Linked DNA regions of Macaca mulatta. The protein of the gene in region 1 binds, or shares a complex with, the protein of each later gene. Links are inferred from orthologs where the notes say so. Each region holds a gene or a part of one and is shown in the gene's direction. Other genes may lie near its edges.

What was found.
Region 2: NUP98 (region 1) and NUP153 share a complex: the UniProt entries of both Homo sapiens proteins name them as parts of the nuclear pore complex. The link is inferred for Macaca mulatta from reciprocal best matches to the Homo sapiens genes NUP98 and NUP153.
Region 3: NUP98 (region 1) and NUP107 share a complex: the UniProt entries of both Homo sapiens proteins name them as parts of the nuclear pore complex. The link is inferred for Macaca mulatta from reciprocal best matches to the Homo sapiens genes NUP98 and NUP107.
Region 4: NUP98 (region 1) and NUP205 share a complex: the UniProt entries of both Homo sapiens proteins name them as parts of the nuclear pore complex. The link is inferred for Macaca mulatta from reciprocal best matches to the Homo sapiens genes NUP98 and NUP205.
Region 5: NUP98 (region 1) and NUP93 share a complex: the UniProt entries of both Homo sapiens proteins name them as parts of the nuclear pore complex. The link is inferred for Macaca mulatta from reciprocal best matches to the Homo sapiens genes NUP98 and NUP93.
Region 6: NUP98 (region 1) and centrin-2 share a complex: the UniProt entries of both Homo sapiens proteins name them as parts of the nuclear pore complex. The link is inferred for Macaca mulatta from reciprocal best matches to the Homo sapiens genes NUP98 and CETN2.
Region 7: NUP98 (region 1) and NUP85 share a complex: the UniProt entries of both Homo sapiens proteins name them as parts of the nuclear pore complex. The link is inferred for Macaca mulatta from reciprocal best matches to the Homo sapiens genes NUP98 and NUP85.

The regions. Positions count from the first base shown.
Region 1 is NC_133419.1:72,107,188-72,111,016, forward strand, and holds part of NUP98 (nuclear pore complex protein Nup98-Nup96), read left to right. Parts: intron 1-1,201; coding exon 1,202-1,468; intron 1,469-3,829. UniProt on the Homo sapiens protein: Plays a role in the nuclear pore complex (NPC) assembly and/or maintenance. NUP98 and NUP96 are involved in the bidirectional transport across the NPC. May anchor NUP153 and TPR to the NPC.
Region 2 is NC_133409.1:165,434,464-165,438,292, forward strand, and holds part of NUP153 (nuclear pore complex protein Nup153), read left to right. Parts: intron 1-209; coding exon 210-404; intron 405-971; coding exon 972-1,856; intron 1,857-3,829. UniProt on the Homo sapiens protein: Component of the nuclear pore complex (NPC), a complex required for the trafficking across the nuclear envelope. Functions as a scaffolding element in the nuclear phase of the NPC essential for normal nucleocytoplasmic transport of proteins and mRNAs.
Region 3 is NC_133416.1:75,841,504-75,845,332, forward strand, and holds part of NUP107 (nuclear pore complex protein Nup107), read left to right. Parts: intron 1-1,257; coding exon 1,258-1,348; intron 1,349-1,494; coding exon 1,495-1,571; intron 1,572-3,018; coding exon 3,019-3,078; intron 3,079-3,749; coding exon 3,750-3,829. UniProt on the Homo sapiens protein: Plays a role in the nuclear pore complex (NPC) assembly and/or maintenance. Required for the assembly of peripheral proteins into the NPC. May anchor NUP62 to the NPC. Involved in nephrogenesis.
Region 4 is NC_133408.1:175,386,531-175,391,015, forward strand, and holds the start of NUP205 (nuclear pore complex protein Nup205), read left to right. Parts: upstream 1-1,436; 5' UTR 1,437-1,453; coding exon 1,454-1,481; intron 1,482-4,485. UniProt on the Homo sapiens protein: Plays a role in the nuclear pore complex (NPC) assembly and/or maintenance. May anchor NUP62 and other nucleoporins, but not NUP153 and TPR, to the NPC.
Region 5 is NC_133425.1:52,442,003-52,444,657, forward strand, and holds part of NUP93 (nuclear pore complex protein Nup93), read left to right. Parts: intron 1-271; coding exon 272-389; intron 390-827; coding exon 828-911; intron 912-2,655. UniProt on the Homo sapiens protein: Plays a role in the nuclear pore complex (NPC) assembly and/or maintenance. May anchor nucleoporins, but not NUP153 and TPR, to the NPC. During renal development, regulates podocyte migration and proliferation through SMAD4 signaling.
Region 6 is NC_133426.1:159,105,765-159,110,231, reverse strand, and holds the start of centrin-2, read left to right. Parts: upstream 1-1,426; 5' UTR 1,427-1,450; coding exon 1,451-1,453; exon of another isoform or gene 1,454-1,819; intron 1,820-2,401; coding exon 2,402-2,560; intron 2,561-2,882; coding exon 2,883-3,011; intron 3,012-3,481; coding exon 3,482-3,619; intron 3,620-4,208; coding exon 4,209-4,298; 3' UTR 4,299-4,467. UniProt on the Homo sapiens protein: Plays a fundamental role in microtubule organizing center structure and function. Required for centriole duplication and correct spindle formation. Has a role in regulating cytokinesis and genome stability via cooperation with CALM1 and CCP110.
Region 7 is NC_133421.1:84,894,147-84,898,508, forward strand, and holds the start of NUP85 (nuclear pore complex protein Nup85), read left to right. Parts: upstream 1-1,335; 5' UTR 1,336-1,377; coding exon 1,378-1,410; intron 1,411-4,028; coding exon 4,029-4,122; intron 4,123-4,362. UniProt on the Homo sapiens protein: Essential component of the nuclear pore complex (NPC) that seems to be required for NPC assembly and maintenance. As part of the NPC Nup107-160 subcomplex plays a role in RNA export and in tethering NUP96/Nup98 and NUP153 to the nucleus.

The DNA.
Region 1 (3,829 bases):
TTGATACCAGTCTAGTAGGTAAATGCCTGTGCTTGTCATTTTCTGAGGCTGAGTTTAAGCAGATTCCCAAGCAAGAAGAAATTGTCACTATATTCTTGTCACTTTGTTCTTTTACCCATTAATGTACAAATTCTTCCACAAAGAATTGTAGCCAGTCAAATCCTTGGATTTATAAAATTGCGTTTCTTACCCAATCCAGAGAACATAGGGAGAGAGATACAGTCCTTCTTGTTTTTCTTTTCTTTTCTTTTTTTTTGTTTGAGACAGAGTCTCACTCTGTCACTGTAGCTGGGACAACAGGCACGCGCCACCACGCCCAGCTGATTTTTGTTTTCTCAGTAGAGATGAGGTTTCACCATGTTGGCCAGGATTGTCTCCATCTCTTGACCTCATGATCTGCCCGCCTCGGCCTCCCAAAGTGCTGGGATTACAGGCGTGAGCGCCCGGCCCCTTCTTGCTTTTCTAAATCCTGTCCATTCTTCCATGTCCAGCTCCAGTACTATTGGTCTTCTCAACAACTTTGTTGTATTTCCTCTTCTTGGCTTCTCTCATGATTACCGTTCTCCCCTATCATGACCATGTTTTTCTGAATCAATACTTTGATAAAGGGGTTCTCTAATTTGTTAATATTTCAAACAATAGAAAAATCATTCTGTTAATATTTCAAACAGTAGAAAAATCATTTTGTTTTGCACATCACCTTTATTGAAAATGGGCTGTTTTAGAATGTCCTGTGCCACACATTTTGGGATTTATGTTCCTTCAGTTCTTTGTATTTACTTAATTGTCTCATTGTCTTTTCAAATGTGTAAGTTATTTTACCAGTGCATACTTGTAAGTGGCTTAAATGATAAACAGTGCTTTTGTAGATTGATTTTTGTAGATAGAATTTGATCAAAGTAGACATCATCTGAGATGACATTAGCCATAATTAGGCTTGGGGAACCTGTTTAACGGTTACATTTGTTACGTAAGTACCACAGAAACATGATGTGAGCAAGCATTTATTTATACCATATACTTCTGGAAATTATAAGATGAAGCTGAGTGAGGTAGAGACAGATTCAGGGTAATCAACTTGAGTGGTTGTTCGAGATGTTTATTAATTTATGTATTTTTAACATCACAGTTAGAAGGATGCCCTCTGTGAAGTTGTTGTAAGGCTTTGTCTCATAACATTGTTTTTCTCTTCCTGCCTTAGTTGTGAAGCACTGGAGCCTGACATGGACACTATGTGAAGCCCTATGGGGCCACCTGAAGGAGCTTGACAGCCAGCTAAATGAACCCTGTGAATACATTCAAATTCTAGAGCGAAGAAGAGCTTTCTCCCGCTGGCTATCCTGTACTGCCACACCTCAGATTGAAGAGGAAGTCTCCTTAACCCATAAAAGCAGCCCTGTGGAAGCTGTATTCAGCTACCTTACAGGCAAAAGGATCAGTGAGGCCTGCTCTCTGGCCCAGCAGTCAGGTGGGGAAGGATTATGGTCCTTCTCTGCGCCCCTGTCGCCTTCCTACTCATTACCTCCTTCCTGTCCCCCCGACTGTGCATTTCCCTTTGACTGCTAGTCTGTGAGTGTTAATTGTGGACTTCCCAGGAAGATTGCTGGTTCCTGTGGAATATGTAATGTAACATAAAATTTAAATGTTAATCAAGTAAACAATGTTTAAGGTCCTAAACAGAGAATTAGAAGACATACTTCAGGTGCGCACAGTGGCTCATGCCTGTAATTCCAGCACTGTGGTAGGCCAAGTGGGGTGGATCACACCCACCTATTCCTGTAGAATAGGAACCATGACGGGTTTGGGGTTTTTTTTTGTTTGTTTGTTTTTTTTTTTTTTTTTTTTTGAGAGAGTTTCTTGTTGCCCATGCTAGAGTACAATGGTGCCATCTCGGCTCACTGCAACCTCCTCCTCCCGGGTTCAGGTGATTCTTCTGCCTCAGCCTCCCAAGTAACTGAGATTACAGGTGCCTGCTATCACACCTGGCTAATTTTTGTATTTTAGTAGAGACAGGGTTTCACCATGTTGGTCAGGCTGGTCTCAAACTCCTGACCTCAGGTGATCCACCCACGTTTGCCTTCCAAAGGGCTGGAATTACAGGTGTGAGCCACTGTGCCCAGCCAAACTGTGTCTTCTAATTCTTTTTTTTTAGGACCTTAAACATTGTTTACTTGATTAAAATTTAAATTTTATGTTACATTACATTTGTAATAAAACTGGAAAGCATAGATAAGCTATAAATCAAAATCAACTATAAGCATTACTCTGAATTGCTATAAAATATGTTCTGTATCAATTCACTTCATTCAAATAAATACATAGAAGTTGAATTTCTGGATTGAGGTACTCACTGGCTTTTTAAAAGGAATTTGTATGCATATATTTACTTTTTAAAGTTCCGTTTCACTAATGAGGCAATTCAGCAGGTGCTTAATGACTGCCTAGATATAAATCTTTTTTTTTTTTTTTCTTTTTTCTTTTTTCTTTTTTTAAAGACAGAATCTGTCTCTGTGTCACCCAGGCTGCTGGAGTGTAGGGGAGTGCAGTGGAATGATCTCAGCTCACTGCAACCTCCATCTCCTGGGTTCAAGCAATTCTTCTGCCTCAGCCTCTTGAGTAGCTGGGATTACAGGTGCCTGCCATCGTGCCCGGCTAGTTTTTTGTTTTTTGTTTTTTGTTTTTTTTGGTAGAGACACGGTTTCACCATGTTGGCCAGGCTGGTCTCAAACTCCTGACTTCCAGTGAGCTACCCACTTTGGCCTTCCTACTGCTGGGATTACAGGTGTGAGCCACTGTGTCTGGCCATAAGTCTTGATAAGAATACAGGATGGCATAGCTCAGCTTAATCTAATATGATTAGATCGTTATTCAAACCTTGATTGTTGGAACCTCATTTATCCAAAGCCAACTAATTGGAGCCATTGACTGGATTTATTTTGAAGGGTTTGGCTAGTTTTGGGATTATAAAGAACAAATCACAGGAAAAGCCAGAATCAGTAAGCTATATAAAGGGCTTGTTGCATTCCACTATCACTACACATTTAACCTCGTAGCTTTCTTTTTTTTTCTTTTATTTTTTAAATAGAGATGGGGTCTATTTGTTGACCAGGCTGGTCTCAAACTCCTGGCCTCCTTCCTCAGCCTCCCAAAGTGCTGGGATTAGAGGCATGAGCCACCACATCCAGCCTCAGTCTGGTACTTTTATGGTCTTTCTGCATTTCTACAGTGAGAATTTATCTTTGGGATTGATCTTCTATGAACTTAGAATGATTATGAATCATTTAAAAAAGGTTATGCTCACCAGGACACCAACATGTAATAGGAAGGAAAATGCCAAAAGTCAGATTCTTAGGTCTATTCATTCATAAACTCCACTTTCTTCCTTTTTATTTTGCCTCAAAGGCTAAACCTCTGGTAAAGGTACTGCCTTTTAGGTTACTAAAGCTTTTGCTTTACTACTCCCCCCTCCGTTTTTTGGGGGGTGTTTTTTTGTTGTTGTTTTGCAAGACAGAGTCTTGCTGTGTCCCCCAGGATGGAGTGTGGTGGCATAATCTCAGCTCACTACAACCTTTGCCTCCTGGGTTCAAGCGATTCTCCTGCCTCAGCCTCCTGAGTAGCTGGGATTAACAGGTATGTGCCACCACACCTGGCTAATGTTTATATTTTTAGTAGAGATGCCATTTCGTCATGTTGGCCAGGCTGGTCTTGAACTCCTGACCTCAGGTGATCTGCCTGCCTCAGCCTCCCAAAGTGCTGGGATTACAGGCGTGAACCACTGCTTCCAGCCTTTTTTTTTCCTTTCCCCCCCACCCCGCCCCCAGACAGAGTC
Region 2 (3,829 bases), on another chromosome or scaffold:
TGAGAGTTCTATTCTTTTTTTTAAACAATATAAATATGAACAATTGTTCGTATTTCTGGCACGTTCTGTGTTTTAATAGGAAATATTATTAGAAATTCAACACTTAAACTTAGGGGTGTCATTGAGATACTGACATATTATAAATTAAAATTTTCATGAATTCTGCCCCTCCCCACTCCCTGTTTTTTTTTTTTTTTTTTTTTTTTTAGGAAGTTCAGTACCTACTTCAAGTAGCAGCACTGTACCCATCTCTCTGCCTTCTGGAGGCTCTCTAGGATTGGAAAAGTTCAAGAAGCCTGAGGGGAGCTGGGACTGTGAAGTGTGCCTAGTGCAGAATAAGGCTGACTCTACCAAATGTTTGGCATGTGAAAGTGCAAAGCCAGGCACAAAATCTGGGTTTAAAGGTAAGGCCAAAAAAATAAAAATAAAGGTGATGGTAAAGCGCCTTTTTGTAAGGCCATTTAAAAATGAAGTATTTGAGAACAGCTTCAGTGTTCACTCATTCTCTCTTGAAAATTAATATAAAATGAGATTATCCTGAGATGTTTATATCTGTTTCTGAATTATTGTAAGGTCAGTTAGTTGCTTGTCAAAGGATATATGCATTTGTAATTTTTGGTAACTAGTGACAGATTGCTCCTTGTGAGTTTTGTGCTCATTTATACACCCACCTGCAATGTGTAGCCTGTTACTTCCAGTCTCATTGCCAGTATAAACTTTATCAAACTTTATCTCAGCCAGTCTGATAAATGAAAAGTGGCATGTCAGGATAGTTGTGAGGAGTGAGATACAATTCTCATACCACATAAATATTGGTCACCTTGAATTATGTTTACGACTGCTGGTAATACTCTTCAAAGTAGACCCTTTCAAAGTTATTCCTATGTTTCTTTGGCGTTCAAGATGTTTATATTTTGTTTGAGAGCATCAGTACATTAATTGTCTATGTGGTGTCTTTTATATTTTTGCAGGCTTTGACACATCTTCCTCATCTTCGAACTCAGCAGCCTCCTCATCCTTCAAATTTGGTGTCCCATCACCCTCTTCTGGGCCTTCTCAGGCTTTAACAAGCACTGGAAATTTCAAATTTGGAGATCAGGGAGGATTCAAAATAGGTGTGTCATCTGATTCTGGGTCTGTAAACCCCATGAGTGAAGGCTTTAAATTTTCTAAACCAATAGGAGATTTTAAATTTGGAGTATCATCTGAATCTAAGCCCGAAGAAGTTAAAAAAGATAGTAAGAATGATAATTTTAAGTTTGGACTTTCTTCTGGTTTAAGCAACCCAGTTTCTTTAACTCCATTTCAATTTGGGGTGTCTAATCTTGGACAGGAAGAAAAGAAAGAGGAACTGCCCAAATGTTCATCTGCAGGTTTTAGCTTTGGTACAGGTGTTATTAACTCCACTCCTGCTCCTGCTAACACCATAGTGACCTCTGAGAACAAGAGCAGCTTCAACTTTGGAACCATAGAAACCAAGAGTGCTTCAGTGGCTCCTTTCACATGTAAGACATCAGAAGCTAAAAAAGAAGAAATGCCAGCCACCAAAGGAGGATTCTCTTTTGGCAATGTGGAGCCTGCCTCTCTGCCATCTGCCTCAGTGTTTGTTTTGGGAAGGACAGAAGAGAAACAGCAAGAGCCTGTCACTTCTACTTCCCTAGTTTTTGGGAAGAAAGCTGACAATGAAGAGCCAAAGTGTCAACCAGTGTTTTCCTTTGGGAATTCAGAGCAAACCAAAGATGAGAATTCTTCCAAGTCCACATTTAGTTTTAGCATGACAAAACCATCTGAGAAGGAATCTGAACAGCCAGCAAAAGCCACTTTTGCCTTTGGAGCTCAAACTAGTACTACAGCTGGTAAGTATTAACTTTATTATTTTTTTTACAAGTTGCCTTTACAGATGCAGCAAGTCAAGTAATGGTTTGCACTGAACGTAGTTGAGAAATACAGAACTCTTTGGGAAGGAACCTAGGATTTTCAGTTTGAACCACTCTTTAAAACCCTCATGATTCTGATGAAGTCATCTGTGGATCTAATTTTGAGAAATACGGCAGTAATGCAAAGCTCAATATAGTGCATATTTATGTGTGTCTTTCTCTTCTGTTTGGGCTTTTATAATCAGAATTGGTATCTACTACCTGGAAAATAAGGATTCTTAGCTTATGAAGTATTTTCTACCATAATCTATGGTATTTATAAATAGTTACAGATAACCAGTCCTCATCAGACATTAAGAAACATAGACAACAAATATAATTAATCCTGAGAAACCAAGAGATTTTGAAAGCTGAAGTCCTGGGGGAAAAAAAATGACACAGCACCTTAAAGGTTAAAAGCATCATTGTTGGTGGATCATATTAAAGTCATTCTGTGGGCGGAATAGCAGGAAGAACATAGCTGATCATCAGATTAGTGAACTAGAATTTCCCTGAACTTAGTGCACAAGTACAAAGAGTGATCCAAGTTAGATCCACAAGTTCCTCTGGAACAGGAGTGACCTAGAAGATAAGAAGTTTTGGGGGAATATCAAAGAAGTGACAGAAGAAAATTTTCTAGATCTAAAGAAAGACATTGGTCTTAAAAATGGAAATTACCTATTGGCAAAGATCACTGAAATTTAGGACACCAAAGCTAAAACCCCAAATGCTTTCAGAGAGAAAAGCTATTTGCCACAAATAGGAAGATACCAGATTAGCATCATCTTCTAATTTGCAACATCACATGCTAAAAACAGAACAGTACCCTCAAAATGAAAATGTTCTTGAACCTAGAATTCTGTTACTAGCCAAATGTGTTTAAGTATAAAGACAGTCCGGGTGCCGTAGCTCACACCTGTAATCCCAACTAGTCAGGAGGCTGAAGCACAAGAATTTCTTGAACCTGGGAGGCAGAGGTTGCAGTGAGCTGAGATTGGCCACTGCACTCCAGCTTGGGCAACAGAACGAGCCTCTGTCTCAAGAAAACCCAACAACAACAACAAACACAGAGGCAAAATACAGGTGTTTTTAGATGTGCAAAAAGTGCAAAAGTTGAATATCCATGAATACTTTTGGATAATAAATTGGAAACACTCAAAATTAACTTTTATATGGAATTCAACAAATAACTATGAGCAGTTTTTTGTCTGTCATATATTTACTTAGAAATATAAAGATAAAATAAAAGCTAAAATTACATATTATTTGGAAAGCAACAGAAATATGATAGGGTCTAATCAGATTTGATGGTGAAACACCAGGCTGTGGTAGACACTCTTAACCATTCTTCCATTAGCCAGCTTGAAAGTGAGCCAACGTGTTCCATTTTCTGTAAGTCAGACTAATGCCGATAGCATACTGTGACCAGCCCTGCATAGTGTGAAGTATTGGAACTGAGAGATTATTGGAATAGTTTAGAAAAAAGTCTTCAATAAGGTGGCTGGATTCAGAATCATGATATAAAAATCAAAAGTTTTTCTTCAAATCGGCATATCTCATTTGTTTTTTTCTAACATTTCTAACTTGTATTTTATAAAAGCAGCAGAACTTTTAACATGCCAAATAATAAAAGAACACAAAAGGCGTACTTGTTGCTGGGCAAAGATATTCCCTTCCTCCTCCCATAATTTTAGTTCTTAGGGGAATTTTTGTAGAGCTTGACAAGCTAAACTTACTCTAAAATTCACATGGAAAGGAAACTATACAAGAAATTTTGGGAAAAAAGGCAGGCACACAGGCAGCTTTGTTCTGCTATCATCAGTCCATGGTGTAAAGTTGGAATAATTAAAACAGTCTAGTGATAACGGTAGAGGAAACAAGTATATGCATTTTAGGAAATGTAGTGTGTCATA
Region 3 (3,829 bases), on another chromosome or scaffold:
GGACCCCAAAGATATCACTAGGATACTATCTGTTTCCAAGACCCATAGCTCTACCCTACTCTCTGTGCCTTCATTCCCAGGAAGCTACTCCCCATGTTGTATCAGAGATGGATATGAGACGCTCCAAGCTTACATCCTCCTGCCAGCTAGCAATCTCAGTAAAAGGAGTATATTTTCTTTCCCAGTATCTCCAGCAAGAGTCCTGATGGTGAATCTTGCTATAGCTCACATCCCTAAACTCAGAGTTCTGGAATGGGATCAGGCCTATCCAAAACATAGGAGCTAAGAATGGGGAAAAGGTGATTCCCTAAAGGGATGATGGAACAACAAACATGTATTTACCTTACTGGTATATAAACACATTTACTTACTGACTTACTGGTCAAGTTGAACATGCAATATTATCAGGGGAGTAAATGAGCAGTAACAGCCTTGTCATTAGAGACTGTTTTTGTAGTAGTTTTTCATAAATCAGAGGTCATCAACCTCTTTTAACCCCATTTGTTTCTAGCAGAATTAAATGCCAGTGGGTGCCGTGGGAACCTATTGTTAAGCCTAAAGTCAAATAGAAAAGGGATTTTTTAGAAATAAAAACAGGGCCAGGTATGGTGGCTCACACCTGTAATCCCAACACGTTGGGAGGTTGAGGTGGGGGGGATCCCTTCAGTCCAGAAGTTCGAGACCAGCCTGGGCAATATAATGAGACTCTGTCTCTGCAAAAAATTTTTAAAAAGAAAGAAAAATAAAGGCAGAAGCCACAGAAAGACATACATATGTTTTAAAAATAGAATACCATTATTTATTATTTATTTATTTATTTAATTTATTTTTTTTTTTGAGACAGGGTCTCACTCTGTCACCCAGGCTGGAGTGCAGTGGCGCAATCTTGGCTCACTGCAACCTCTGCCTCCTGGGTTCAAGTGATGCTCCTGCCTCAGCCTCCCAAGTAGCTGGGATTACAGGTGCCCGCCACTACGCCGGGCTAGTTTTTCTATTTTCAGTAGAGACGGGGTTTCACCATGTTGGCCAGGCTGACCTGGAACTCCTGACCTCAGGTGATGCACTTGCCTTGGCCTCCCAAAGTGTTGGGATTACAGGCGTGAGCCACCGCACCCAGCCAGAATGCCATTATTAACTGCCTACATCCATCCCTTGTAACATTTGTTCCATAAGTTATCTAAACTTGTCATATATTGGTTATACTTTACTCTAAAGTACCCTGGTTATTGTACTGACTGCTTTTTCTTGTTTCTTAAGGCACAACGACTCTGTAAACGCTGTGGTCAAGCATGGAGAGCTGCAACACTTGAAGGCTGGAAACTGTACCATGACCCTAATGTTAATGGAGGTATTTTAGTAGATTTTATATTGACAGTTGAGGACAAAGGCATTTCGCTCTAAATGCCAATCTTTGTGAACTATAGCTTCTCTTTTTAGAAAGGATTGTAATAAGGTTTCATTTTAAACCAGAAATTTTCTTTTACTGTTTTATAGGAACAGAATTAGAACCTGTTGAAGGGAATCCATATAGACGCATTTGGAAAATAAGTTGCTGGAGAATGGCAGAAGATGTAAGATAAATAAAATATTCAGTGATACTGTTTTTAACTCCAATTAATTGAAAGCCTATTCAGGGGCTATGAAACGTTGAAAGTAGTGTAAAACTGGTTTTCAAAGAACTTCCAATTAAATTGAGGAATAGGCTTAACAACTTATCAGAATTATTAAAACACTATGTACTAAGAATTAAGCATTGATATAAGGCAGAAATGTAAAGGAGGTACCAAATGAATTTAGAGAAAAAGTATTGGACTAAAGCTTAAAGCTGGCTTCCCTAAGGAAAGAATTGAATTGAACTTTTAAAACTTAGTAGGATTTGCGTTTTGGGGAATGAAAAACAAGAGGAAGGAATTCTAGGTAGGATACATAGATTGGGAAACTCAAAGTAAGGTAGGTCTACCAGGTTGGAGAAGAATGCTCATAAAGGAAATACTGTCAGTTCTGTTGTAACATGACATAGGTATTCAAAGTCACCACAATGTGCAGCATTGTACGAAAACCCCATAGGACTTAACAGGAAAATGGAGTTAAGACAAAAATACTCAAAAACTTCATTAGTGATACGTAAAATAATAAAAAGTTAATAAAAATGGTAGCACAGTTTTACATCTGTCAAACAGTTTAAAAAATACATAAATACTACAATAAATATGGCACTTTACCTTGAAAAAGGCCCAAAGTTTGCTTGTGGAATTGGCTGTCAGGGTGGTAGAAGCTTTAGCGCAGATAGCAGAAGTGTTTTTGAGAAGATCAGCCTGGCAATGGAAAAATATACTTAAAATTAGATGGACAAAAGGCTGAGAAAGTAGTTAGGAGCCTGTCAGAATTATTTGGACACTAAGTCATAAGGGTCTGACCTAGGATAGTATTGATGGGAATGGAAAGGAAGGAAGAGACACTGGTTAGGAGCAGTGATTAGAAACAGAAGGCAGAGGTGGACTCAGTTATGCAGTAAGAGTCTCTGAAGTCTCTTGTTTGGATGATAAGAAAACTGGAAATACCAAAAGTAAAATGGGGAATTAGTTCTACATAGAAATTAGATGCAAACTAATGCATGCCTTGTTTTGATGTTGTACATAGGTCAGTATCAGAGAGTATCAGGTCAATATCAGAGAGTATCAGGTATTGAGAAACATTCTAGGAGAAAATAATATATAGGTTGTTTCTGGAATAAAATTTGATTTTAAATATTCAAAGCATCCACTAGAGTTGGATTTGCTTTCACCCGATATTTGGCATTTAAATGTTTTACTTTTTTTCTCCAGATCTCAGCATTGATTATTTCATCACACTGAAGTTCTTCCTTGTTATTACCCCACTAGATCTTTCACTAAAGTTTAAAAACTATCAGGTGAATAGGTTCAGTCTAGAAGAGATTGCAAGACTCCACATTATGAGGAAAATTGACATACTAAGAAAAACAGTATTTCAAATTTGTTTATGTTCATTGTGTTTTAGGAGCTTTTTAATAGATACGAGAGAGCAATTTATGCAGCTTTAAGTGGGAATCTTAAGCAGGTATGCAATCTGTTTTAATGTTTAAATTTTTTCTGTGGAATAAAATTAAATAGATAAAATATTCTAACAATTGTATTTAACAAATATAAACTTAAGTGTATATACTTAAGTATGTATGTACATACTTAAGTGTAGCAATGATAGAGATAATCATGAATCAGATAGTGACTCGTTGTGCTTAATTTGATGTATCCCATAACATACATGGTGTTTTAATGAATGAAATCAGATTTCAGTTTTTAACTAAGAATTGTAAACTTAACTCCAACACACATTTATTGATGACTTAAAATACTCATAGCTGTATGCAGAAATGTGCCAGAAAGGCACAGTGAGTCCTTGGGTTGTCTTACATACGCATGTTTTTCTCACAACCCAATACTCCCCACATATTATAGCTATCTTTAGGGATACTACACTAATCAGTTGAAATGTCATATGAGCCTGGAAAACATGTTGTTGTTAACAGTATGAAAAAATCTGAACAGTTCAAACATCTTACAAGATGTAGTTGGCAGGGGAAAGCTTATTTGGCATAATTTTTTTTTAAATCCGCCATGTTTTATATCATTATAAAGTGATTTTATAGTCTGTATCATTGGATGTAATTGATTTTCCTTTCTTTTCTGTTGAATATGTCTATATGTTTCTGTTTTGTAATGGGGAAAAAGCTGCTTCCTGTCTGTGACACCTGGGAAGACACAGTTTGGGCCTACTTCCGGGTGATGGTGGATAGTCTGGTAGAACAGGA
Region 4 (4,485 bases), on another chromosome or scaffold:
CTTTTGCGTTTCAAACTTAATGTACATTGTGTCACTTGATATTATTTGTCCAAAATAATAAATATTCTGTTCTGGATATTCTTTTTTGTTTGTTTGTTTGAAATGGAGTCTCACTCACTCTGTTGCCTAGGCTGGAGTGCAGTGGTATGATCTCAGCTCACTGCAACCTCCACCTCCGAGGTTCAAGGGATTCTCCTGCCTCAGCCTACCGAACAGCTGGGGGTTACAGGTGCGTGCGGCCACGCCTGGCTAATTTTTATATTTTTAGTAGAGACGGGGTTTCACCATGCTGCCCAGGCTGGTCTCAAACACCTGACCTTAAGTGATCCGCCCACCTTGGCCTCCCAAAGTGCTGGTATTACAGGCATGAGCCATCGCACCCAGCCAGTTCTGGATATTGTTAACATACTCTGTGCTTTTGTCTAAATTATTTGATTCTAATTTCCAACAGTGAAATGGGAATGATGGAGAGTTGATACAATGAGATTGTAAGGCACATAGAACATCGCTGACATAGCTATAATCAGATCATTTTCCCAATAGAATGGTTTGCAGGGATTAAATGAAATAATGGCTGTAAAATTCTTAATACATAGCTGTAAATAGCAATGATTATATTTTAGTTTGAAAATCAGTAAACTAAAATTTAACAACTGAGGAAAGAGAGTTCAGCTACTTTGGTTGCTCAGGTAGAAAAATACTTGGTGATTATGAAACGATATGTCTGGAATTTGTTTCAAAATAATCGGGGGCGGGGGGTGGGGAGGATAAGGTGCTGGGGTGGTAAGGGTGGGTTGGGGCTGCCGTGGTGGGAAATTGGCCACGTTATTGATGCTGCCTGTTCACTATGCTAATTTTGTATCCATTTGAAAATTTTATAGTTAAAAATTATGATTTGTTTCGCTCTACGCAACTATGTTGACACAACATACTTGGTAAATTGAAATGTCACGGAAACTTAGTTTTTAACTGGTCAATGACTTTTTGAGGTGTAGACACTTCACACCTTACTCCACTCCCCACTGTAAGGAAGATTTAACTTGAAACGGAGCTAATGATTTGAATTTACGGCTTTTATAATCTCATAAGTGGGCGTCATTTTAATAACTACTCTCAGAATATCTTTTTCTATTCCACTTTACTTTTTCCTCTCCACTTAACCAATTCATCATTAGAAAGAAACTACAAGTCCCAGGATGCACTACACGATGAACGTCCGATCGAGGACCTCGTGTCTCTGAAGTGGTTGCCCTCGCCTTATTTGAATGGGAATAATCCCAATGAAAATTGATACTTGTGACCCAGAGCAGATTCTGGAGCCTTCTGTACACCTGGGACGGCCCAGCGTGGAGGGGACAGCCTGGTGCCTTTTTGTTCAGGCTTCACTCAGGGCAGCCTCACCCCTTCCTGGGGCCTCCATGCGGCAGAAGGGCTCTGTTAGTGCGCCTCTAAGATGGCGACGCCTTTGGCGGTAAATTCGGGTAAGTGTGGCCAGACAGAAAGGAGATGATTGAGCTGAGCGATGACCAGGTCTTCAGGGAGAGACGAGACCGTGGGGTTTCTCGGAGTCTAGGACCCAACTTATGTGCGGTGCCTCCTTTTCCCTAATTCTGGGCCTAGAGTCTCACCCCTCCCCAGTTTGAATGGCGCGCGTCGGTGCTGCGGCTCTAGCCCTTGAGTTGGCGTTTGAGAGTCGAGGTAGTGAGGCTTGGGCCGCTGGACCCAGGTGTTTAATCTCTCACAGCCCAGGGCTAAGCCTGGCCCCCTTACCCCCAAGTTCCACTGTGCGTCTGTGGTCCAGATTTCGCCGGAATAGCGACAGGTCTTCAGCAGTGAAGCCAAAGGACCCGAGATATTTTCCAGCCACGAGCAGAGGCTGAAAGTAGGCGCCGGTGTTCTTAGAGGGTGGGAGATCTTGCAGGCGGCGAATACTCCCGATGATGAAGTCGGCCATCTGAAAGGTGGTCAGGAAGAGGGTGGCGGGGCTTCAGCGGACGTCTCCTAACTCTGCGGGTGTGGTTAGGCCCTGGATGTTCTTGTACCTTTGGAGCTGTAGATTTTCGGGGTGGAATTGAATCTAGAAGGTAGTAAAGGAATTCTGGAAGATTTGGGGTGGATCCTCTTTTGGTGATTCTCAGTTCGGGCGGTACCGCCCTCCAGTGGTGTCTGAATGAGTGAGTGCATTTTGATTGTCATATTTCCTGGGGTACGCTGCTGTCGCATAGTAGGCGGAGCAAGGATGCAGAAAGTCCTTCATGGGCAGAGCAGTCCGGGGAAAGAATTTGGCGCTTAGAATGTTAATGCCTCGGTTGAGATGCTCAGAACTTCGCGGGCAAGATTAAGAGTACATTTGTGTGGTAAATGCTTGTAAGAATCTCACTTAAAAGGACTCTTTCCTGGGTGCATTTTCTGTTTCTTTACAGTCACTTTTTAAAGTATTGGTTCTATTTTCCACAGGACTGATATTCTCGAAAAGTTGTCTAAATCTGCTTTGTAAATCAAATCATTTCAGAAACGCTGTGATAAATTATAATGAAAGCTATGCTTACTGAGCACATACTATATCCCAGCTTTACGCTTATTATTGTGCTTATCTCATTCAGTTGCCCTTTGGAGTAGTTGCTGTTAAATACACTATTTTACAGATTTGGAAATAGAGACTTCAAATAGTTACGTAATGTCCCCAGAGTTAAACATCTAATGATTCTAAGCCAGTCTTAGGTGCTTAAACTACTTAGTGCTACTACTTAAGCACAACCTAATTCATTTTATGATATTAGACATATATTAGAAGGTTAGTAATGAAGTTACATGCTTAATATTGCTGTCCTTCCTTCCCAATTAGATATGCTTAAAAGCAAGGGTTGCGTGTTATACGTGTGGTTATATATAATTTCTCTATTTTATTTTATTTTTTAATTTTTTGTTTTTGAGATGGGGTCTTGCTCTGCCTCCCAGGCTGGAGTGCAGTGATGCGAACCCGGCTCGCTGCAACCTCTGCCTCCCAGGTTCAAGCAATTCTCCTGCCTCAGCCTCCCGAGTAGCTGGAATTACAGGCACGCGCCACCACGCTGGGCTAATTTTTGTATTTTTAGTAGACGCAGGGTTTCTCCATGTTGTCTAGGCTGATCTCGAACTGCTGTCCTCACGCTATCCTTCTGCCTCTGCCTCCCAAAGTGGTAGGTTTACAGGTGTGAGCCAGCGCGCAGGGTATATACATTTATTTTCCTTTCTTTTTTTTCTCTTTTTGAGATGGAGTCTCACCCTGTCACCCAGGCTGGAGTGCAGTAGCATGATCTCGGCTCACTGCAGCCTCAGCCTCCCGGGTTCGAGCAATTCTCCTGCCTCAGCCTTCGAAGTAACTGGGATTACAGGCGCCTGCCACCATGCTTGGCTAGCCTGGCTTATTATTATTATTATTATTTTGAGACGGAGTCTCGCTCTGTCGCCCAGGCTGGAGTGCAGTGGCGCGATCGCCACACACTGCAAGCCCCGCCTCCCGGGTTCAAGGAATGTCCTGCCTCAGCCTCCGGAGTGGTTGGGACTACAGGCGCCCACCACCGCGCCGGGCTAATTTTTTTTTGTATTTTTAGTAGAGACGGGGTCTTACCGTGTTAGCGGTAAAACCAAGAGTTTTAAAAGCCAAGAGTCAGGAGGTGGTTTTTTTAAAAAACTAAACGTGGTAGGGAAGGAACTCTTTTTCCATCAAGTAATGAATGTCGGGTTGAGTGGGTAAAGGAAATGTGTCATATACATGCAATATACATAATGTATATGCATATACATAACGTATACATGCATATACATAATATCTTTATGCAGCCTTAAAAAGGAAGGAAATCCTGTCACATAAAACAATGTGGATGAATCTTGAGGACATACTAAGTGAAATAAGCCAGTCACAAGACACAAATACTGCATGATTCCACTTATATGAGGTATCTGAAGTAGTCAAACTCATAGAAACAGAAAGTAGAATGGTGGTTGCCAGGAGCTGGGAAAGGGGAAAATGGGGAGTTGTTTAGGGGGCATAGAGTTTCTATTTTGCAAGATGAAAAAAGCTTTGAAGATCTGTTGCACAATGTGAATATGCTTAACACTGCTGAACTGTACACTTAAAATTTGTGGAGATTGCATTCTGTGTTATGTGCTTCCTTTAAATTAGTTTTAAAAAATCAAACATCTTAGAGTTGTAAGGAAAAAATATAGAGATTGTAGAGTTCTAAGACTTATGGTTGGTCGGGTGTGGTGGCTCATGCCTGTAATCCCAGCACTTTGGGAGGCTGAAGTAGGCAGATCACTGAGGTCAGGAGTTCGAGACCAGCCTGGCCAACATGGTGAAACCCTGTCTCTACAAAAATACAAAAATTAGCCTGGCATGATGGCAGGTGTCTGTAATCCTAGCTACTTGGGAGACTGAGGCAGGAGAATCGCTTGAACCTGGGAGGCAGAGGTTGCAGTGAGCCAAGATCATGCCATTGTGCT
Region 5 (2,655 bases), on another chromosome or scaffold:
ACAGGCACATACCACTACACCTGGCTAATATTTTAATATTTTGTGGAGATGGGGTCTCGCTGTGTGTCCAGTCTGGTCTCTCACTCCTGGCCGGTCTCTGACTCCTGGCCTCAAGCAGTCATTCCGCCCCAGCCTCCCATGTAGCTGAGATTACAGGCATGAGCCACATGAACCATACCCCACTGTCTTTTTAAATGCTATTCCACAGTTATGGATTACACAGAAATTCCTGATACACTCTCACTCCCCCCACCCCGTTTTTGTCTTTCAGGTATAGGGCTCAAGGAATAAGTGCAAATAAATTTGTGGACTCCACGTTCTATCTTCTTTTGGACTTGATCACCTTTTTTGACGAGTATCATAGTGGTCATATTGATAGAGCTTTTGATGTAAGTTTCAGGAAAGGTGTTTGAAGTGCAGGTTAATGTACACCCTTGAAAATTCAAAACACTGCATGGAATTTACTTAAAACAAAGGAGCTGTTGCCAGTATGTTTGTTAAATGAAGAAGGACAAGTACAGTCCTGGGACTTAAAAGGATTTCCTGTGTTGCTTTATTTTTTCCCCCTATTCCTTTCCCCTTTAATCTGAAAACAGATACATTTCTCAAAGTAATTTGAAATCTCTGAATTTTAAAAAATGTGTCAGAAAATGAGGATAAGAATTAAGTTAGCTAGTTAGAATCAAAGCCTTTCTGTGTACACAAGGGAGAATGGTGTTTTCTATGAAGAAGCCCTTTGGAGTATGTGAGGGTGCTGACTTTACATGTAGAGAGATGAAATGACTGTGATGATTGTCTTACATGGGGCTGGTGGTTGTTTTAAACAGATAATTGAGCGCTTGAAGCTGGTGCCCCTGAATCAGGAAAGTGTGGAAGAGAGAGTGGCTGCCTTCAGAAATTTCAGTGATGAAGTAAGTTCCTTCTTCCTGAGTTATGGAATTCCTTTTTCCCCACTTCCACCAAAAGCTTTTTCTTTTCCTGTACCTAACAGCTTTAAGAGTTCTAGTTACAGTAACTATCCAGACTGAGTTTTCCAGAGTGGTTCCCTTTCAAATACCTTGGCCTGGCTTTTCTGTAAGTGCATACATCCCCATCAGATTATTGTCTGAATTCCTGATTGAGAAAATACAGTCATTTCAGTGATTGACATGTTCTTGGGAGAAACAGGTTTCTGGTTGATCCTGTGAAGTCTGGTTTAATTCTTCTATTATCCACTTGTACTAGAGGGTATTTTGGTGCTTAACTCTGATCATCTTTAAGTAGTTCCATTGGGTACATGAAACACATCATGATGCACTGCCACCTTTGCCCTCCCTGATCTGTTTTGTCTAAAGAAGCAAATTCAGTGACTGTGACTATCACCCCATAAGCCCCAGAGCCACTGTCTGTCTGTCGGGTTTCTAGCATATTGCCAACATCTAGCCCAGGGTGCTCAGCTGGGCTGCATACTGGCATCTCTAGGAGAGTTTCTAAGAACTCTCATGCCCAGACCCCAGAGATTCTGGTTTCCCTGACTGCTGCAGCCCAGACCTCCCTGAGTCATTCCAGTGTGTGGCCCAGGTAAATTCATCTCTAGAACTACAAACACTCAACTCAGCTCTCAACACTATGCTAGAACCAACTGCCTGGCTCTGGGATGTCACTAGTGGTTTTTCAGTTTAAAATTATTCCTCATTGAGCAGATGCCTTTTATAAAATGTCTCTGGCCAGGTGCGATGGCTCACGCCTATAATCCCAACATTTTGGGAGGCTGAGGCAGATGGATCAGCTGAGGTCAGGAGTTGGAGACCAGCCTGGCCAACTTGGTAAAATCCCGTCTCTACTAAAAAATATAACAATTAGCCAGGCATGATGGCGCATGCCTGTAGTCCCAGCTATTCAGGAGGCGGAGGCATGAGAATCGCTTGAACCCAGGAGGCAGAGGTTGCAGTGAGCTGAGATTGCGCCACTTCACTCCAGCCTGGGCGATTGAGGGAGACTTTGTCTCAAAAAAAAAAAAAAAGTTTCTGTTTTAGAGAAAGAAGTAAGGCCAGTTCTGCACATGAAGAGGGATGTTGACTACTGTGGTACACACAGTTCAGAAGGTCTTACCCCTTGCTGACTTTCCCTTTATACCTGCTGTGGTTTCTACCCTTAGCCACTTGCTCCTTTGTTATTTCTAGCCTTTCCTTGAATACATCCTTCATTGCATCAGAGATTAAAGTAGTACACCAGGGCCTGCCCTTGTAGACACTCCCAAGGACTCTGGTAGGGCCATGCAGATCCAGTGGAAACAGCCCACTGACTTTGAGAGAGTGGGGAGTGGTAGGGACTGTGGAGAAGTAGCATGTGCACCTGTACCTCCTGACATTCAAATTCAAATTATGTATTGGCATCCACTCTGCTGGCCAGTCTAAGCCTAATGCTAACCAGATGTCAGCATGCTTTTTTTGGCTTGCTGCCCCTGACTAAGGGAAAAACAGCATAAACAGCATAAAGGAGCAGAAACAGTAACCACCTGACCTGAGGAGCATTGCTTGGGGTTTTTTCTCACACTTGATGTTTCAGTGCCATCAGCTCCTTTTGGGTGACTGTGTGGCTCTCCACCTGGTAATGGTGAGGAGTGATGCGACCAGGCCCGCCTGGAGCAGCCCACCCTCCCTCCATCTGTGGTTG
Region 6 (4,467 bases), on another chromosome or scaffold:
GAGGACAACTGGGACAAAGATGAGAGGCAGTAGTGTGGCTGGCACATGAGGTTCAACCACAAAGCCAGTGTTCTGGGGCTGAGAGAAGAGTTGTGGAGTGATGGGAGGGGACACGTCGTGCCAAGCTTTGGAGACCATGATGAGAACTCTGGCTCGTACTACTTGGGGGGATGATGATGACCCAAAAATTAGGAGTCTGTTCACTGCTGAAGAGGGCAAAGGGCAGAAGCTCCATTTAAAAGGTTCTAATAAGCCTCAGGCCTTTCTCTGCCTGAAAAACTTACTTTCTGCCCTCTACTTCCCTAGATTACTGCCCCAGTGCCTGGAGGAAAATCAGGTGAAGGCTAAAAGCCACGTAGACAGCTAAAGAGGGCAAACTGGACCTCCAGCTCCACTTCTGCAGGTCTGTCTCAGTCCACACAGCCCTTGCACACGCTCCCTTTTAATTCTCCAAGCATACCTCTCACTTCCAAAACTCCTGTGACTCTGCTGATGAGGGCGTCTCGGCCTGGAATGCTCCTCCTTATCTGCACTGTGTGGGTGTCAAAAAGAGTATATTTTGATGACCTCTCCCCGCCCCTCTTGCTTGCTCACATCCCCTTCACTCCTTTCAAAGTCCGTTCCCAAAGCCCCCAGTTCACCGTCCTGGGCTGTTTTTAGCCAGGTAAGACCTGAAGTGATCCTCTCTTGGAACCTGGTCTGGGGCCTACACATCTGGGTCAGTCTGGGGGTGCTCTCGAAGGGCCACCCTCAAAGAGCGAGCCTCGGCTGGATTCAGTTCCTAGGTCCCAGCCGTCCGACCTCTGCCACAACGCTCAGCAGACCCCTTCCCCTCTCCGGGTCTCAGTTGCCCCGTGAGTACAGTCCCTGCTCCAACACGCAAGGTCAATCGTCTCTGGCTGCTCTGATGCACTCGGTCCCTAACTCAGCCTTAGGTCAGCACAGAAAGCACCCGACCCGGGCGGCCCCGCAGCTCCTCACCCTCCCGCCCCGCCCAGTCGCTGACACAGGGTGGCCTCCAAGGGCAAGGCCACGACTCTTACCCGTCCGCAGGTGCCCCACTGGCTGGCCTCAGCTCGCAAGCAGGCTGCACCCACCGAACTCCAGCCCCGGAACGCCACCCTTTACTCCCCTCCCGCGTGAGCCGAGAATCAGCCGAGCTTCTTCTACCAAGAGGATTGGCCCAGCTCGGCGTCGGCTCAGCCAATTGGCGCTCACGGCTTGATCTTGCCCAATAAAGACAGGTCTCTGTCCCCAGCGTGCCCCTCCCCGCGCTGGGCCTGGGCTTTGCCAGGTTAGTCCCACCCTCTTCGGCCCTGCACCAGTAGGGAGCGGCGGCGGCGAGCGGACGCCCAATGGGGAGCGGGGCTGTGCGCGCGGGGCGGTGGGAGCGGCGCCGAATCAGTGTACACGTCGGTTGCCTAACAACCGGCCGTGGACTCCTTTGGCTATGGTGAGTGCTGCCGCTCTGTCGCGCCCCACGCCCAGAGGCTGAGCCCTTCCCAGGCCCCAGCTCGGCCACGCCGCCTCTCCTGCGCCTTTCTCGGCTTTGACGCACCAGTCCTTCCTTTGAGCTCTTTCCCGGAAGAGTAGGGTACAGACGCTAACCAACCTACTGGGCCTGCGCTTTGCTGCTGCCTCCCCTTCACCCACAACAGGCCCACACCCGCCCCTCGGGCTCCCCTGGCCTTCCCTGATCACCTCGGTGAACCTCCCTGGGCAAAAAAGACTCGAATCCCTCACAGGCCCCTGACTTTCTCAGACCTTGGCCCCCTGGCCGCCTCATTCTGCCAAAATTTCCACACAGAGCTGGGAGAAGGTGTATTGTGTTCTATTAAAGTGTTTTTTACAATTTAAATATAGGGGCATTCAGGGGATGCTGTAGCTTCTTGGAGAAGGCACGAAGGTGTCAGATGGATTGAGTTTTATTACTCGATACTGACACAATATACATCTTAACAACTTGCTAATATTTGGCCAAATCTAGAAGTAATTGGGAAGTCAGAGTGCTTACTGGGAAGCGGAGTACTGGGAGTGGGCATTGTAAGGCAGTTTCCAGAACCAGGATCCCCACATTCGGGAAGAGCTGATTATCTCTACTTATTCGCAGTCATTTTCTTGACTAGCTCTCTTTTGGGATGATTTTCAGTAAGAGGTATCCTTACTGAACAAGTGATCTCCCTGCTTCTAGAAACGACAGTAAAGAAAAGGGAGGGATAGAAGTTCATGGAAAGATTCATTGTTCTTGCCAGTAAACCCTGTTATCTTTCTTGTTAAGCAAAGCTTTGGAATTGGTTGCCATAAAATTATTTAAAACTACATATGGGTGTCTGTAACTATGTTATGTAAATATGGACTGTACGATATATTATTGTGCTTGTGTATTGCATAACGTATGAAGGCCTCCAACTTTAAGAAGACAAACATGGCATCAAGTTCCCAGAGAAAAAGAATGAGTCCTAAGCCTGAGCTTACTGAAGAGCAGAAGCAGGAGATCCGGGAAGCTTTTGATCTTTTCGATGCGGATGGAACTGGCACCATAGATGTTAAAGAACTTAAGGCAAGCTCTATGCATTCCTGCCGTACTGCCCTTCCTTTCCTCTGCCTCTTCCTTGTCATCTCCCTATCACCTCTCTACCCCTTTTGCCCTCTTCTCCCTGCAATAAGTAACAGGGGAGGTTGTACTGTGCTCTGTTTTCCTGTCTTTACTTAGAGTATTATTAAATAAAATTGATTGCAAATGTCAATTAGATCAATGTTATAGTGTTCCCCAATCATATTAACATGACCACATCAGATGCTGGCTTAATGCTCTCAACACTGTTGTTTTTGCTGCTGCTAGTTCAGATGTGCTTATTGAGACAATCCTGTTTTCATTATAGGTGGCAATGAGGGCCCTGGGCTTTGAACCTAAGAAAGAAGAAATTAAGAAAATGATAAGTGAAATTGACAAAGAAGGGACAGGAAAAATGAACTTTGGTGACTTTTTAACTGTGATGACCCAGAAAATGGTGAGTAGCTAAGACAATTTGCATGGTATGGCGCCCCAGTCATCTGCAGAGGCCCATGGCATCTGCCTGTTAAAACAGTCATGTGACCACAGAGCAGTCCAGGTAGCAGCTGCATCAGGAGGCCTGCCCTCCCATCATGTTACCTTGGGCTCCCAAAACAAGCCCTTGTACTTCTTTCTCAAGACTTCCAAGCAGATACCTCTTCCCACAGAATTCTAAACCAGTTAGGAAATAGATATGGGATAGGGAGAGATATAGGGATAGGGAGCAAACGTCACCTTGGATGGAGTGCCTGGCTTGACTGGTGTTTCTCTGAGGCCAAAATGGGCTTCCTGACACTTGCTGCAAGTCTAGACTCGAGTTACATTGTTAAAAAGGAAAGGGTGACCTGACCGGGCAGTGGCAGGGCTACAGGACATGAGTAACCATGGTGTCCCCCTACTCATGTGTTTCATGTTCTATTTGGTAAGTCTGAGAAAGATACCAAAGAAGAAATCCTGAAAGCTTTCAAGCTCTTTGATGATGATGAAACTGGGAAGATTTCGTTCAAAAATCTGAAACGCGTGGCCAAGGAGTTGGGTGAGAACCTGACTGATGAGGAGCTGCAGGTTTGTAATGCATCACACTGGAACTTAAGATTCCCACCTTTGGGCCCTCTGTGACTTTTCTGTTACATTTTCCCTAGTGTGAGCACTTCTTTGAAGGAAAGCCAGTGTACTTTGTCCCTCTGTGGACAACTGAATTCTCCTTTAATAGTCAGACAAACCTATGAACGCTGCTTCCAGAAAAATGCACATAGGCACAGTTTTGCCTACTATTTTACATTCCAGGAATCCCTCTAGTCAAGGTAATCTTCAAGCTCCCTCCCAGGTGATAATGTTTGACAAAGTATGAGTTGGTTTTCAAATAAGTTTTCAGGAACCAAGCTATTATCAGGAGTGGCATACTGGCATTGGGTGGACTACAATTATCTATTCACATAGTGTTATTAAAAGTCTATTGCTTGCCAGGCACAGTGGCTCATGCATGTAATCCCAGTACTTTAGGAGGCTGAGGCAGGAGGATCGCTTGGGGCCAATAATTTGAGAGTAGTGTGGGCAGCATAGAGACCCCGTCTCTAAAAAGAGTCATATTACTTAGTCACCTTTTGGCATTAGTTTATAAATTAATCTAACCTGAATCTTTACTGTCATATAGGAAATGATTGATGAAGCTGATCGAGATGGAGATGGAGAGGTCAGTGAGCAAGAGTTCCTGCGCATCATGAAAAAGACCAGCCTCTATTAAGATCAGTGTCTTCTTTTTCTACTGCAAGCACATGTAACTAGATTTAGTGCCTGCCATTGTGTGAAATCTGGCTTTTGAGAATACAAACTTTTCCCCCACTGACCTCCCTTTATCACTTTAATAGTGACCTTGAGTCTATTTTAGCTGTTTGGAAGTGTTCTTTGATATT
Region 7 (4,362 bases), on another chromosome or scaffold:
AACGATTCTCTTGCCTCAGGTGTCCGCCACCACGCCCAGCTAATTTTGTAATTTTAGTGGAGATAGGGTTTCTCCCTGTTGGTCAGGCTGATCTCGAACTCCCAACCTCAGGTGATCCACCCACCTCGACCTCCCAAAGTGCTGGGATTACAGGCGTGAGCCACCGCGCCCGGCCTAAATTTTGTATGTTTAGTAGAGATGGGGGTTTCCCCATATTGGCCACGCTGGTCTCGAACTCCTGAACTTGTGATCCACCCGCCTCGGCTTCCCAAAGTTTGGGGATTACAGGCGTGAGGCACCGCACCCTGCCCAAGCCCGGCTAATTTTTAAAATATTTTTAGTAGTGACGAGGTTTCATCATATTGGCCAGGCTGGTCTTGAACACCTGACCTCCAGTGATCCGCCCATCTCGGGCTGCCGAAGTGCTGGGATTAGAGGCTTGAGCCACCTCAAGCCTCTAATCCTTCAGGAGCATCGATTTTGTCCCCGTGCCTCTTTTTTTTTTTTTTTTTTTTTTTTGAGACGGAGTCTCGCTCTGTCGCCCAGGCTGGAGTGCAGTGGCACAATCTCGGCTCACTGCAAGCTCCGCCTCCCGGGTTCACGCCATTCTCCGGCCTCAGCCTCCCGAGTAGCTGGGACTACAGGCGCCCGCCACTGCGCCCGGCTAATTTTTTATATTTTTAGTAGAGACGGGGTTTCACCATGGTCTCGATCTCCTGACCTTGTGATCCGCCCGCCTCAGCCTTCCAAAGTGCTGGGATTACAGGCGTGAGCCACCGCGCCCGGCCTCCCCGTGCCTCTTGTGTGTGTTCTAGTGTGGGAGTGACGGCGACTGCTTTCCAGCACAAGCCCATTTGACTGGGTTTGGACAAGTGGCTGCTACGACACTAAGGTGGAGATAAGGATGGAGCGAGGACTCCCAGAGTTGGGAAAGCTTGCAGGCTTACTGGGACCTCAGTCCGGCACAAGTTCCCACCCAGGTGCCGCCGCCCCAGCCTACGCACGCGCAGTCGCACCGTCTCTGGCCAAGGGTTCCTCCTGCCCCGCCCGCCCTCTCCGGGGGCCTTCTCTCCGCTCGGCACCAGGGTGTCCGCGGCGCCGCCTGATCCCGTTAGCGCGGTACTGTGAGTGCAGTCCGTCCTCGGCGCTGTTTTCCCTGACTTGCTGTCGACGCCAGGAAGGAAGGACGCGCGCAGAGGACCGCAGAGGGGTGGCCGTGGCTGAGGGAAGAGAGCGCCGCAGCACTGAAGGTTTGGGCTTGCAGGCGCTGCAGGAGGCGCCCAGGCGGGGTCCTGTCTCTCAGCCAGCTCTGAGCGGGAGGCCTGAGCCGGAAGCATTGACGTCCCGGCGACTTCCCAGAGCCTGGGGTTCGGCGCTATGGAGGAGCTCGATGGCGAGCCAGCAGTCACTGTAAGGGCACCCCGAACAGGCTTGATCGTCCTTGTGGGTTGAGAACTGCGTCTGCTTCGTTACTTCAGGCTTGTCTGCTTCCCTACTGGCTGCGAGGCTCTCGTCCCCTTCCCTTGATTCAGTTGCCACTTTCCGGAGGTCGCAGTGTTAACTAGGTGCCCGACCTCGGGTCGTAGTGGTCGCGGGGTTTCTGCCACCAGTCACAAAGCCAGGCCTCGAAGGTCCCAGTCCGTCCCTTTCCTTCTTTTGTCTTGCTGACCTTTCTACTTCCCTCGCATTTCCTCTTGGGTATTAGAGTGGGTTCAGCCCAAGCAGAGGAATTTATGTTTTTCTTCCAGCCATATTAAGCTCTGCATCGCGGCACGTTGAGTTCTGCTTGTGTGACCTAAGGTTTATTAAACGTATTATCTCAGGAGACTATTCATATTTTATCGCTGTGCATTCAATTCCATTTGAACTTTGAAGAGAGTATGTCAACTGTGGATGATCTGTGATGTGTATAAAAAAAATTCATGGACTTTATGTGCGACATACCTACCGTTTCTGCTACTTGGAATGCTTTTGTTTTCCCTCTTTCTCTTGTTAACCGCTGACTGAGGCAGGTCTCAACCGATGAAGGTTTATTTAGCTAAGGTTGAGGATCCAACCGGGAAAAAACACAGGTCCCAGGAGGATCTGAGACTTGTGCTTTTTCCAGAGATGGTTTTGGGAACATCAGTAGTTAAAGAGGAAGGAACTAGCAGGAGGGGCAAAAAAGGGAGGTTAGGCAGTGAAGAGGCAAATGGTTACATTCTTGTGAGTCTCTGATTAGCCTCAGTAAATCTGCATTTTACCTGTGAAAAGAGGGAGTAGAGGAAAAATTTATGTATGCATTCATCTCAGGGTAGGTAGAGGGATGGTTTCATTTCTTTTTTTTTTTTTTTCTGAGACGGAGTCTCGCTCTGTTGCCCAGGCTGGAGTGCAGTGGCGCCCCTCTGGGCTCACTGCAAGCTCGGCCTCCTGGGTTCACACCATTCTCCTGCCTCAGCCTCCCCCAGTAGTTGGGACTACAGGCGCCCACCACCACGCCCGGCTAATTTTGTTTTGTATTTTTAGTAGAGACGGGATTTCACCGTGTTAGCCAGGATGGTCTGGATCTCCTGACCTCGTGATTTGCCCACCTCGGCCTCCCAAAGTGCTGGGATTACAAGTGTGAGCCACTGCGGCTGGCCTCTTTCTTTTTTTGAGACGGAGTCTCACTTTGTCACCAAGGGTGGAGTGCAGTGGCGCCATCTCAGCTCACTGCAACCTCTGGCTCCCAGGTTCAAGCGATTCTTCTACCTCACCCTCCTGAGTAGCTGAGATTACAGGTGCGTGCCACCACACCCAGCTAATTTTTATATTTTTGGTAGAGATGGGGTTTCACCATCTTGGTCAGGCTGGTCTTGAACTCCTGACCTCGTGATCCGCCTACCTCAGCCTCCCAAAGTGTTGGGATTACAGGCGTGAGCCACCACACCTGGCTAGGAGTTCGAGACCAGCCTGGCCAACATGGCGAAACCCCGTCTCTACTAAAAAAAATACAAAAATTAACCTAGCGTGGTGGCGCATGCCTGTAATCCCACCTACTCAAGAAGCTGAGGCAGGAGAATCGCTTGAACACAGGAGGCAGAGGTTGCAGTGAGCGGAGATCGTGAGATCGCGTCACTGCACTCCAGCCTGGGCAACAAGAGTTCGAACTCCTGGCCGGGCGCGGTGGCTCAAGCCTGTAATCCCAGCACTTTGGGAGGCCGAGACGGGCGGATCACAAGGTCAGGAGATCGAGACCATCCTGGCTAACACGGCGAAACCCCGTCTCTACTAAAAACACAAAAAATTAGCCGGGCGAGGTGGCGGCGCCTGTGGTCCCAGCTACTCGGGAGGCTGAGGCAGGAGAATGGCGGGAACCCGGGAGGCGGAGCTTGCAGTGAGCTGAGATCTGGCCACTGCACTCCAGCCTGGGCGACAGAGCGAGACTCCGTCTCAAAAAAAAAAAAAAAAAAAAAAAAAGAGTTCGAACTCCTGACCTCAGATGATCTGCCCACCTCAGCCTCCCAAAGTGCTGGGATTACAGGTGGGAGCCACTGTGCCCAGCACAAAATGAATTTTTCTTACTAGTGTTATAAGAAAATGTTATTGAAGGATACAATGTTATTACAGGACCAGCTGTGCTCTTCACTTAAAGTGTTTTTCAGCCAGGCCGGCATGGTGGAAAGTGTTTTTCAGCCAGGCGGGCACGGTGGCTCACGCCTGTAGTCCTAGCACTTTGGGAGGCTGAGGCGGGTGGATCACCTGAGCTCGGGAGTTTGTAACCAGCCTGGGCAATATGGTGAAACTCCATTTCTACTAAAAATGAAAAAAAAAAAAAAGCCGGGTATGGTTGCACACATCTATAGTCCCAGCTACTCAGGAGGTTGAGGCAGTAGAAGACCTTGAACCCAGGAGGCGGAGATTGGAGTGAGCTGAGATTGTGCCACTGTACACCAGGCTGGGAGACAGAGTGAGTCGTTGTCTCAAAAAAAAAAAAAAAAAAAAAGAATAGAACGACTTCAGTAAGAAGAACATTCTTCATTTTAGATTTCTATGTCTTATTTTACTAGGTGATTCCAGGTGTGAATTCCAAGAAGAACCAAATGTGTTTTGACTGGGGTCCAGGGGAGATGCTGGTGTGTGAAACCTCCTTCAGCAAAAAAGGTAGGGGTTTTTTTTGTTCCAAATTGTCCATCTTGGTACATCTGGTTGTTTTTCTGTTTATTACCTCAGATTTGACTAGTTGTGGACTGAAACAATTGAATTTGTTTTGTACCATTTTAATTTTCTTTATTTTGTTTTCAAGATACAACAGGGTTTTGTTGTGTCACCCAGGCTGGAGTACAGTGCGATCATGGCTCACTGCAGCCTCTACCTCCTGGGCTCAAGTGATCCTCCACCTCA